Linked DNA regions of Caenorhabditis elegans. The protein of the gene in region 1 purifies or fractionates together with the protein of each later gene. This does not show direct contact. Each region holds a gene or a part of one and is shown on either strand. Other genes may lie near its edges. The genes, in order: tli-1, acp-6 and F26A3.1.

Evidence for each region.
Region 2: the proteins of tli-1 (region 1) and acp-6 fractionate together in Caenorhabditis elegans (co-fractionation; one large-scale study listed by BioGRID). This does not show direct contact.
Region 3: the proteins of tli-1 (region 1) and F26A3.1 fractionate together in Caenorhabditis elegans (co-fractionation; one large-scale study listed by BioGRID). This does not show direct contact.

What each region holds. Positions count from the first base shown.
Region 1 is NC_003279.8:10,535,563-10,539,893, forward strand, and holds tli-1 (CUE domain-containing protein), read right to left. Parts: upstream 2,527-4,331; 5' UTR 2,486-2,526; coding exon 2,450-2,485; intron 2,199-2,449; coding exon 2,005-2,198; intron 1,689-2,004; coding exon 1,345-1,688; intron 1,201-1,344; coding exon 1,105-1,200; intron 784-1,104; coding exon 722-783; 3' UTR 553-721; downstream 1-552.
Region 2 is NC_003282.8:6,424,026-6,427,896, forward strand, and holds acp-6 (Histidine phosphatase family protein), read right to left. Parts: upstream 2,115-3,871; 5' UTR 2,113-2,114; coding exon 1,918-2,112; intron 1,869-1,917; coding exon 1,734-1,868; exon of another isoform or gene 1,664-1,733; intron 1,650-1,663; coding exon 1,505-1,649; intron 1,457-1,504; coding exon 1,074-1,456; intron 995-1,073; coding exon 746-994; intron 697-745; coding exon 658-696; 3' UTR 575-657; downstream 1-574.
Region 3 is NC_003279.8:7,639,764-7,643,724, reverse strand, and holds F26A3.1 (Lipid droplet-associated hydrolase), read left to right. Parts: upstream 1-1,957; coding exon 1,958-2,108; intron 2,109-2,158; coding exon 2,159-2,341; intron 2,342-2,509; coding exon 2,510-2,745; intron 2,746-2,790; coding exon 2,791-2,898; intron 2,899-2,945; coding exon 2,946-3,129; intron 3,130-3,175; coding exon 3,176-3,300; 3' UTR 3,301-3,377; downstream 3,378-3,961. Other genes in the region: rrf-1 (RNA-directed RNA polymerase), read left to right, coding at 1-85; ncbp-2 (Nuclear cap-binding protein subunit 2), read left to right, coding at 484-552, 646-827, 922-1,130, 1,234-1,250.

The DNA.
Region 1 (4,331 bases):
AGAACATCCATTACGTACTCAGTAATTGACATACATTCATTCACAGGATATTCAGCATAGATACTCCTAATCTTTTCTTGAAGTGCATAATCAAGAGTAGTTTCCGAAATGGTTTTGTTGTGTGCATCAGAATGAACTTTGAACTTCCATCTTTTCCCAATTTTTTTATTGACGAATACATAAGGGCTACCAGAAACATATGCGTCAATTGTGTAATGTTCTTTGCGTTTATTTTTTGTAAACTCTTTCACTGTTACCTTCGCTTTCAAACTTAATTTTGAGACATTTATTCTGAAAATTATCACTTTGTAGAGTTGTTTTCTGAATCGACGGGGTTGGCAATGAGTTATTCGTTTAATTGGCAGATATTTTAATTGAAAGAAAACTGAAAGTTTCGTGGAAAACCACGCTTTTGTACGGCTGGAGATGATGAGATGACAATTTTTTGATAAAATCCAGGACATGTGAAATGTAAGCTTCTAAAGCTAACCAAGAAAGTGTAAGAATAGTTTTGCTCGTTTTATTTTGTTAAATTAATTGTATGAATATATTCGTTTTCCATATTTTTATTTTATACATACACAATCATACATCAATTTTGATTACAATAAATAGATTCCAATTGACTTTTTTTTGATTCACAACTTTAAATGAGATGGGAGATTCAGTGGAGAAGGTGGGTAGACTAGGATTTTTTTGATTTTCATGAAAAATGCAAAATTTAGGAGCTCTCGGCTGCTGCTGTCATCTCCAGAATTGCGCTGACTGCGGCTTCCTTGTCACCTGAAATATTTTAACAATGTATATTAAATTGGTCTTGAATTGACAGCTAAGTTTCTGACAGAAAACTGTAAGTAAATATTTCTTATTTTTCTTATAAAACTGGAAAACAGTTTGCCAGATTTTTGTAAAACATTATCAGGATTCCTGATTCAGGAATATATAAATTTTACTCAGGCAAAAAAATTAAAGTCAACAGCATTCTGGAAATTTTCTACCAGTAACTTGAAATTTTTCAAACATTTTAATTGAGTTTTTGCCTCCGAACAACATACAAAATGAGCAATATTGTCCGAAAACGAATAAAAATCTCTAATATTTTACCTCTTCTCTCTTCAAGAATACACTTGATTACTTCTTTATCGACAATTGGGAACATTTCCTGGATCTCTTTAGTGTCCTCCTCAGTAATTTCAACTGCTGAAAAAATGAGATTTTGATTTAAAAAATATTAATTTTCCAATTTTGTAAGTGGTTCAAACAATTGACAATTTTCCAAAAATTTTGACTGAAAAATATCAAAAATAAAGTCATAATTAGAATTTTACAAATTCCACAACTTACGCAGTGGAGCTGGAGCTGGCTCTGCCGGTGCGGCTTGTTGCAATGGCAAATCAATTGGAGCAAACGAGAAGTGTAAATGAATCATTCCTTCTTTTCCTTCACCTTGTTGTCCAGACAATTGAAAGTATTCATCAATGTTATCACCATTGAAAATTGCCAGTGGAAGCATGATATGAGCCCACGCAATAACCTCATCTGGTCCAAATGCTTTTTCATCGAATATTTGAATATAAATACTCTCAACATTCATTGGAAGATAGGCATTGAGAGTTCGGTTCCAGGTTGGAGCACGTCCTGCGTTAGCTGCCACGTTTGTATCGAATTCAACGTTTCCGACACGAACTCTGCAAATTGGAAATTACAAAATATTTCGTTTTTTCACAAGTATCTAGCTTGAACATCGGACAGAATTTTAAAAAAAAGTCAATTCGCTAATGAAAAACAATTAACGATAAAAATAATAAATTGATTGTAAATCTATGTTCAATTTTTTTCGTACATATGTATTTTTAACTTCTTTACAATTTTTGAATTTCAATTTCAAATGTTTCATTTTCTGTAAAAAATCTAAATTTTTTGACGACGCTCTTGGCTATGACAAAATAGTTCTCAGATAAAATTCTTGATTTAAAAAATTTAATTTTCAAAAAAAAATCTTACCTGCAATAGGGATCCATTCGAACAAGACCATAGTTTTTGACAAGATTCGCTTCGAGAATTGTCACTGAGAGCCGTCCACGTGTATTTGGTGGCACAAAGCTCACCATACGAGGCTGAACGATTTCTGGCTCAGCAGTTTGTTGAATTGGGACTGCCAGACGAAGGAAGTGAGGTGGAAGCTCTCCAACGAGCACCTGTAAAATTTGATATTGAGAGAAAAAAAACAGTTTTGAGCAAGCTCTGAAAAATATAGTAGGGAATTTTACACTCTTGCAAATTTTATAAGTCTTCATAGAAATATAATTGACAATCAACTATATTTTATAGTTTTTTTTCCTGATTTTATATTAGTTTTTATAGGTTCTCTAAACATTATTTTCCAAAAATGGTCAGCTAAGATGTTCACAAACAATTTGAATATATATTTTTCCCTTGTTTCCCTAACCTGTCTACGACGTTCAGCAACAGTCTCAGTATTCATTGTTTCTCACGGAAGATCAGTATTTGTTTTGGTTTCTGAAATGACTTGGCAATGTTTGTTGAATGACTCAGCAGAAACAGGTACTGATAGACATCAGACTGAACAAAGAAGGAGGAAAAGAATTTGCAGGACAAAAAAACTAAAAATTTAATGAAAATTGTCATTTTAGAGACTGAGAATGTGTCTGGGAGCTGGAGAGAACGAGAGAAAAAGAAGAGGAAAATCGATAAGAAGGGACTGGTCAACAACAACAAAATAGATGGAAATGGGCATATTTGGATTCAGAAAAGTGAGAGAACATGAAATGAGGGAACTATACTGCTGAAATTAATATACTGTTTCCTTTTTTTAAATTAAACTTCTGTACCCTTTTACTGCATTTATTTTACTGATTATATCTCGGTTTTCTTTGGGTGTATCAAGAAGTGTTCAACTGATAAATTATAGATAGAATATATTCCTATTTTTTCAAAAATTACACAATTAAAAAACTGAAGACAACAAAGATATGAAACGTCTAAGTTGAGCAAGTCGAGGGAGAAATCTGAAATATCTTTAAACTGCCAATGAGGGTCTAGTTTTTCAAAATTTTTTAGGTTTTTCATTTTAACAATTCGGCTGCTCGATTTGGCCAATTTTGGAAATACTGGCAGAAGAAAATGCTTTTTTGAACTAAAATTTCAAAATAAGTAATTAATCATTTTTTGCTTACAATAAACAAAATGAATATCTGTGATTGTTACTTAAAAATTCAGAAACTGGAAATAAATTTTGATTTTTTAAGTTCTCAAAAATGTCACAAAAATATAATATCAAAAATATAAAACCTTTTTTTCAGAAAAAAAACTAGGGGAGATTTTCCTCTGACCAAAAATCGATGAACTTTAAATGTGAGAAATGGAATATTCTTGAAGAGCAAAAAAACCAACATGACTTGCACAGCTAACACAAAATTCGGAAATAAAAATTGGTATTTATAATATAAACTTTAAAATTACAATAAAAATATTTGTGATGAACATGAACATGTGATTTGAACTAAATATTGTGAAATTTCAAAAAAAGATGATGTCATGCCAAAATTGGAGCATGAAAAACAACAATCAAAAGTTCTACCATCATAAAATTATTCCAAAGTATCATTAAAAAATATCTCAAAACCAAATCGTCATGACAACTAGAATGGCAGTAAACATACTCTATTTCTCTCCGTCTCTAACTGTTTCCCCACTCTACCAGACACTCTCGTACCCTTTTCCACAAGGACGATGCCTACGTCTCTACTCTACTACACACTCTCTTATCGTCCATCTCAATTCTTTGTTTATTTCTCTACGTACTCTACGTGTTCGTACACTTTCTCTACGTCTCTCAGTCTCTCTCAATCGTTCAGTAGTCTTATTCCCCAGAGGACCCGACCAACTTTTTCGGGGAAAAGAACTGAAGACGTCCATTCTGTGGGCAGAGAACATTTAAGAAAGCTTTATAGGTTTTATATAAGAAAAAAATGGTTTTTGTTCCAAAAATCTTAATATCTTCGTTATTGCTTGATTAGCCTACGAAACATTTATTCTGAAGTTTTAAATTAAAACTTCCGTCAAAGTTTAATGGAACTTCTCAAAATACCAATTTCCTTCATCTTTTTTTTCTAAAAATCTAATTTCTCTTATTGAATTCCTTATCTTTTTTCCCCTTTTTTTGCAGTTTTGTCTGCACTTTTAACGTCACAAAGTTTATGTCTTGATGTCGGTGGTCAACGAAACTTTTCAAAAAGTAAATTTTCTACTTTAACCGTTTTATAAGAACATTTATATCAGCTCTGTAAAACTAAAAGTTAAAATTTATA
Region 2 (3,871 bases), on another chromosome or scaffold:
CACAAAATGTTGAATTATGAAAATCTCAAAACTTTTTCAGCGGTCTCGTTATGAAAATCAGGTACTTTTAGCATCTAAACAGCATATGTATCATGTTTGGGAAAAAGTTTGGGTTTTTTATTCCCGTAATCCATCATATTACATTGACCACTTTTACCGCTACTTGCCGACTGAACTCACAATTTTTTCACTTGGAAATTGTTTTAGCATCTGCAAAAAATATTTATTTATTAGTTTTGATAAGAAAAAACGGAAAAAAATCGGTGAAAACGAAAGAAAACACACAGAAAACAAAGCAAGATAAATGGCCGCTGAAATTTGTCGGGGACTCGGCCATGGCCTAGAAACCACTTTTCCTCGTCCCTCGTGAGGAAAAAGTTGCAGTGTATCAAGTGGACGATATCCAAACACTTCGGTTTCCAGTCTGGAGTTTTTTTTGTTCTCCATGGAGCTTCACGTATCTTTTAAATAGAAAAAAAAACGATTTTCATCGCAAAAATAGTTCCAAATCGAGGTATACCCCTTTAATGAGCACAGTAACCCATTCTCCGTTATTTTGCAATTTTCATTGATTACTTTCGAATTATTTATTAAAAAGTAACTACATTAGTACATACGAAGCGAATCAAACGATTATTATAAATTCATGCAAAGAATCTAAGCCTTGTCGCATTGAGACTTCCAATCGGAGAAGGACTGAAAATGTTAATTTGTTACAATAATCTAACCTATTTTTCCAACTTACGAATTGTTTTGCATAGGCGAAGAATTGTTCCAATGGAATGAATCCATCCTTGTCAGCCAATTTCTTAAGTTTTGGAGTAAGTTCAGCTGGATAGATGACATGATCATCGATTGGGTTAGGATCATGGTTGAGAAGACGGACAGCTGGTTTTGGAAGACGTTTAAATTCAACTACGAATCCAGCGGAGGTGGTCAGTTCATCCTTCACGTATCCCATCAATTTCATGACGGAAAGAGTGATTTCGGTGTGCTGGAATTTGAAATTTGTATAATTTTTTCACAGGAAATAGAGGTTTCACATTAATATTGACAGGTTGTAAATAACTTACAGAAGCGTATCCAATAACTTGTGGTCCCTTTCCAGCGTTAGCATCAGCAACCTTATCAATCAAATTCTGAAGCCAATATCCAGCCATCAAGTTTCCGCATGGTCCGTACTCTGCACAAGCGTTCTGATGAACTTCAGCAAATTCCAGAATCTTAGCCTTCAGCTTCTCGAAAGTGTATCCTTTCAACTTTGGAGCCTTAATCCATGATGGATATTCAGCCTTGTAGAGATCAATTTCAATGAGATTATCGGCCAAATCAGCAGCTTTTCCCAGATTCTCCATGTTCCATTTGGTGTTGTCAGAGAAGTATTTGAGCTCAGCTGCGTTGCTTGTCTTGAGCTTCTTGAGGAATGGAAGGGAATCCTTGTCGATTGGGCCCCAGACTGTAAAATCAGGATTTATATGTTCACATTATACAAGTACAACCGTACCCTTATCATTTCCTTTGCATTCCTTAACAGCGTACATTCTAAGAAGTGGATCATCAATGGCATATGGGACTGGAGACCAATGATCGTACCATTTCTTATCCCAATCCCCCCATTGTTCTGGATCGTGGAGAGCAGCAGTGACAGTCTAAAAATTTACTGTTTCAATGTGGCAACTTATAGTTAGATAAATTTTGATTATTTTACTTTGAATTCGGAATTCGCCACATACCTGAAGAGTCATTTGGCATCTGTTGGCAGAACTGGAGTAATATTTAACTTGAGATGAGTTGTAGTTACGAGAGATCAAATTTCCAATAAAGCTTCTCAATTCCTTTCCCAATCCAAGTCCTTGACGCTTTCCGAACTGAAATATTACTAGATTTCATTTAGAAACTCCAATAATTAATACTTACTGAAGTCAATTCAGTATTTCCCTCATGTCCCCAGCTTCTTGGATTCTCTTGGAGAAAAACTTCTGGATGACGGTTTCCGTGACGAGTTCCGAACAGCACAAGAACCGAGTTCTTATCAATTGCAACAGACTTCTTTGGGAGAAGATGGGCGGCTGAAGTAGCCAAGATCAAGGCAGAAAATAGTAGAAGGTTCATACCTGAAAATATAATTTCTTTGTCTGAGGTGGCGTAAAATACAACGGTAAAGTTGAAGAAACATATCACTTTTTAATGAGAGCAAACCAAGAAGTATGAAAACTGATAAAGCTTCTCATGACTAGACTACCTACATGCCTATTCCACAAACGTTGCAGGTCCGCAAGAAGGCATTTACTGTTTAGACTAAAAGGTAGGAGATTGTAGAATGATAGATTCAGGTTGAAAAATACATATTCTGAGAGCTTTTCTAGACAAATTTAAAATTCTGGTAATCAGTTAATTACACAAGAACACTGAATTGCCAGTGAACTTCCATCTTACCCGGCGTTTATATACTGTTTTTGTTTTGTTTGAAACGATAACAAACTGATAAGATAACACGACAGAACACAATTCAATAAAATTGAATTAAAAGAAGATATGACCCGATTTGAAATAAAAAGTATCTTCAGGTGTTTTGTTACCGTTTCATTGAAACAGAATGAACAAAAAACCGTTAGTTGTTGGTCTAATAGAGAAACCATTAAACACGGAACTAATAATTTTATTAAAAAAATCTCAAATGAAATATCACGTTAGTTCAGAAGCCTGCGCCGGCCTCGTACCTTCCCGCGTGCTCAATGATCTGCGAACCCTTGCCGTACAACTTTGGTATTCGTCAGGTTCAACTGAAAGGCACAAGGCAGGCGCGATAGAAGTGGGCCTACAAATCAGTCACTATTTTTAAATTCAAGCTGTAAAATAATTACTTTAACATGCATCCATGGCACATTTTGGAAACTGTTACTAACAGAAAATTTCAAAATTTTACTTCTATCCTGAAACCGATCGAGCACTAGATGCTAACTTTATCTTAAAATTACCTTTTTTCAAGTTACAAAAAATAATTCTTTTAACTTTTCTATCTATGTACCTAGGATAGCAATACTTGAGTACTGTAAATCTAAATCACATGCTACCTAGTACGATCTTGTCATTAAAGGATTTCTCAAGGCCGTGACAAGAGACCAGACGTGACAATACCAAAATATCATGATAAAAATATAGATCACAAACAGAAAGGATGTTTGGATGTACGTTCTCAACATTTTGTGCCATTCTTTTATACTCTGTTAGGTACGACCAAACTTCAATTCAATTTGGCCTCGAAATTGTCATGGAAGGGAGAAATGAATTGAAAATGAGACAATTTTAAATGAATGAAAGAAAAAGATGAAATACACAAAACACATAGAAAACAGACAAACATGAAGAAGATCAATTGTTTATTTGAACTCAAAAACTCCATGTTTCACCATCTCATCTTCAATTCAATTTCTTCCAATTGAATACACCAATTACTCTTTTTTTCTCTGTTTCACAAAACCACAAAGATCGCGAGAAAACTTTAGTTCCGGTTTTTCTCCGAGAATCTGCGAGAGTTCAAGGTGAGTTCAAATGACCGTGAATTGCGCCGTGGCAATTTGAATTTCAATTAGACAGAATTTTTGAGACTTCATGAGCAGAAGGCTGAAGTAAAGTTTGCAGAGAATACGGTAGGATTTGTCTAGTATATATGCCTCCCGGGTTCCTATCGCGATGGCTCCATTGTGCTAATTGAGGCATTCGCGAGTTCGTAGGGCTCTAACATAATTTTCGGATCTTTGGTGCCTTCTGGAAGGGCTACACCAAAAGCTAATTGGAAGAATTACTACTGTAGAAAACTGTAGAAAATTTGGTTAAAATTACAAAGGGGCTAATGAAAAACACTTATTAT
Region 3 (3,961 bases), 2.9 Mb from region 1:
AATCAAAAGTCATTGGGAAGGAGAAGAAGTATCACAACAGATGGCATCTCTTTGCTATCAAAAAGTTATGAATGGTGAATTTTAATCTCGTATTTTTGTTGAAATATGCCATAGACTCTGTTAATGTTTTTTCTTCACTTACATTTTCAAACCTTGTACTATTTTTTCTGTTTTATTTATTTTTAATTCCTTCTACCATTTGTATTTGTGTGTAAACTGACCAATTCCATCATCAAATGATTGATTAATAATTTTAAAATATTTTCTCCGTGGTATAAAACATTTATTTATTTTAGATTTTCGTTTCGTAATCGATATTCCCAATGTTATTTCGTTATCCAATATCTGCTAAATGAGGGTTGATAAAATCCAAATTCAAATAACCTCGGGTTTCAGTTAAACAACACGCGCTACGACACTCCGTTCTCTTTTCGAATTTTGTTCGCTGAAGAGTGTGTCTGTTTCTTCGTTCTTTCTTTTAAAATGGTCTTCGATCCAAGAACATTGGATAATCCTAAGGAAATTAGTGCTTACAGAGATCAAAGATACCAGGTAAGCCTTTTGTTTTAACAACTTTTCGGGTTTTTATCGAATAAAAGGTGTTGTTGCACAATACGAATTCAAATTTGTAGTTCTCAATTTCAGGGAACCGTTCGAGACCAGGAGACTGCTCTACGCACATCATGTACACTTTATGTTGGAAATTTATCATATTACACTAAAGAAGACCAAGTCTATGAGCTGTTTGGAAGAGCCGGTGACGTCAGAAGAGTGATCATGGGATTGGATAGATTCAAGAAAACTCCTTGCGGATTCTGCTTTGTCGAGTGAGTTTTTTCCGCGATTTTCATTGCTTCTCTGGACTTTTAACCCGAACAAATAAAATTTAATTAATTTTTATTTTTATTTATTGATTTCCAGATACTACACAAGAGAAGACGCTGAGCTGGCTCTTCAGAACATCTCAAACACTCGTATGGATGATCGTGTAATTCGTGCTGATTGGGATGCTGGATTCATTGAAGGACGTCAATATGGAAGAGGAAAACACGGTGGACAAGTTCGTGATGAGTATCGAAAGGATTATGATCCAGAAAGAGGAGGCTACAATCGCGCTATTGCTCAAAAAGGTTAGCAGAATAAAAAAAAATGGAAAAATCGTTTTAAGTTGTTTCAAATTGGTTTTTTTATTCGTGTGACTATTAAGAAAAATGAATCTTCTACATTTTTCAGGCGGTGACCGTCAATAATCGTTTCCAAATCCATCCAACACGATCCTCAATCATCATTCTTCAAACAAAAAAAATCACAAAATCTGAAAATTATTACCGTATATTCTCTATTAGTGCTGCATCTCCAGTAGTACTGCAGTCTCTAATAGTGCTGCACTCAAAAAGGGTCCGAAAATTAGTGCTGCAGTCTCTATTAGTGCTGCACCCCATTTTCTACTGAAAGAGTCACTCAATACATAGTTTTGACATTCTGGGGAGTGTTTTGTATATTTTTGAAGATTTCTAGTTAACTTACAAACATAATTGAGTTATTAGGTCATTTTTGTTACAAAATTTCACAATTTTAATGGATTTCTGCTTAAAAGGTGAGCATTTGTGACTAAAAACTAGTGATCTCCAATTGAAAATAGCCGTTCGAAAATTAGTGCTGCAGCCTCCAGTAATACTGCAGTCTCTAATAGTGCTGCACTCAAAAAGGGCCTGGAAATTAGTGCTGCATGCAGCACTAATAGAGAATATACGGTATCTCTGTTTCCATCTTGTTTTAACGTTTTATTTATTTTTCTGTTTGTGTTTTCTTCTCCAAACTTGAGATAAAGCCATCTTCCTCCATCGATTTTTTACAGATGTTTAAAAATAATTATTGAGGCAGGTGAAAATTTCCCAACACAATATCATTCTTTCTAACCGCATTTTTCCAGTTTTTCTTATTTATTTACATATAGATGACCTCAATTCTTCGAAAAGTGGAATGGGTTCGAGTAGCAGGGAAATGGACGAAAATGTCCGTCATGGGGTTGGATATTTCAGACGAAACGCTGAAAATTCAGAAGAAAAAGGAGAACGAGAATCGAGTGATTATTTTAATGATTCCAGGTAAATCGGGAAATTGCGCTTTTAAAAATTTAAGAAAATTTTAATTTCAGGAAATCCCGGAAACGAAGGATTCTACGCTCATTTCGGACGAGAAGTTTTGCAAAATTTGATAAAGAAAGATGAAGATGAGCAGAAAAACTTGAAAAATCAATATTTATTCTACACAGTTTCAAGTCTCAATCATGTTCGAATGCCAGATCATTTGAAAGATGATGGAGAACATCGAAATCATGGTAATAAATACAAATAAAACGAAGAACCGTTCACTCCAGCCTTTTAACTTATTTAGTTTCGCCGATTTCGCAGTATTTTTCGCCCTTTTGTTTTTTTTTCAAATACCTAACGAGACTCATGGATCCGGTGCGGAGCGCGTTTTTACGTCGATTATAATATATTTCCAGACCGAATTTCTCTGGAGGAACAAGTCAATCACAAACTATCATTTGTGAAAGAGCACCTGCCACGTGGAAAGCAACTGTACATTTTGGGGCATAGCATTGGTTCGTATATGATGTTAAGAATCATTCCTGAAGTGATAAAAGAAGGATTCCACGTGGAAAAAGCTGTTGGACTGTTTCCAACGATAGTTCATATGGCAAACTCACCAAATGGGAAACGATTACATGGAACTTTAGCTGTAAATTCAATTTCTTTATTTTAATTTTTAATTGTAAACTTTCAGACATTGAACCATCATGATTGGCTCACAAAAACGATTTGCTGGTGGGTGGATTACCTGCCAAACTCGATCAAAAAATTTCTTGTTGGATTGAACCTGAGACATCCTAATGTAAATTTTTTTTTGAATGTCAAGCAACAAAAAACATAATTTTTCAGACTCCCCCAGAGATCGTCGATGCGGCAGTTGAGCTTGTCCATATGGATGTGTTCAGAAATATAGTTCACATGTCAAACGATGAACTTGATATCGTTTTAGACCTAGATGAGCGTCTTTTGGAAAAACAAGACGTGGTTCATTTCTATTATGGCCTCAAGGATGGATGGTGTCCAGTGCAGCATGGTATTGACCTTGAAAACGTTGTGTAGATTGAAAATAAAATTTATAGGATACTCCATGCGGGACAGACTTGGTGAGGAGCAGGTCACATTGGACGAAGACAATTGTGAACACGCTTTTGTTATTTCTGAAGGAGACATTATGGCGAGAAATGTTATAAAATATTTCGATTGATCAGTTGCTCCGAGTTTTCCGTACTTCAACCTGTGATTGCATTACCTAGAATTTTATCTTTTAATAAATATAAAAATATTTGCACATTTTATTGTTTTTCCTTTTCTATGTGTTTGTTTCTAACACCTGTTAATATTTCTTCAATTGATTAATTGATTTTATTTAAGTATTTAACAGGAGCTCTAGTTATTACTGCCAGGATTAAGTGGTGACGAAACAAACTTTATTGCTCTCTACTGAATTCTAGTCTACTTAGGCTTAGTAAACATTAAAAAACCCCTTTTCAATTCCGAAAGTTCCGTTTTTAAATAAAAAATAAATAAAACGGCGCGAAAGCATGTGCGCTCTAATGCAAATTTGAAATCGAAGAGAGCGAAACAGCAGATTGGCGTGCTCTAGTCGTTTCAGTCATTACCTCGTTCTTTTGTTTCTTTGGAAACTGTTTTATACACGAGTCTTTAAATGTTTAAAAAGATATTTTGTAATTTTCCATTTTTGGGACATATACAGATCATTTGTCGCCCCGGTATTTTCACTATCAGTGGAAATGCAGAGAATAACAAGATATTTTAACAATTCGACATGTGTTATTCTTTTTCTGAATGTCTATCTTTTTGTTAATTCATTTCAATTTTCAAATTTTCAGTAACCCACCCCTCTC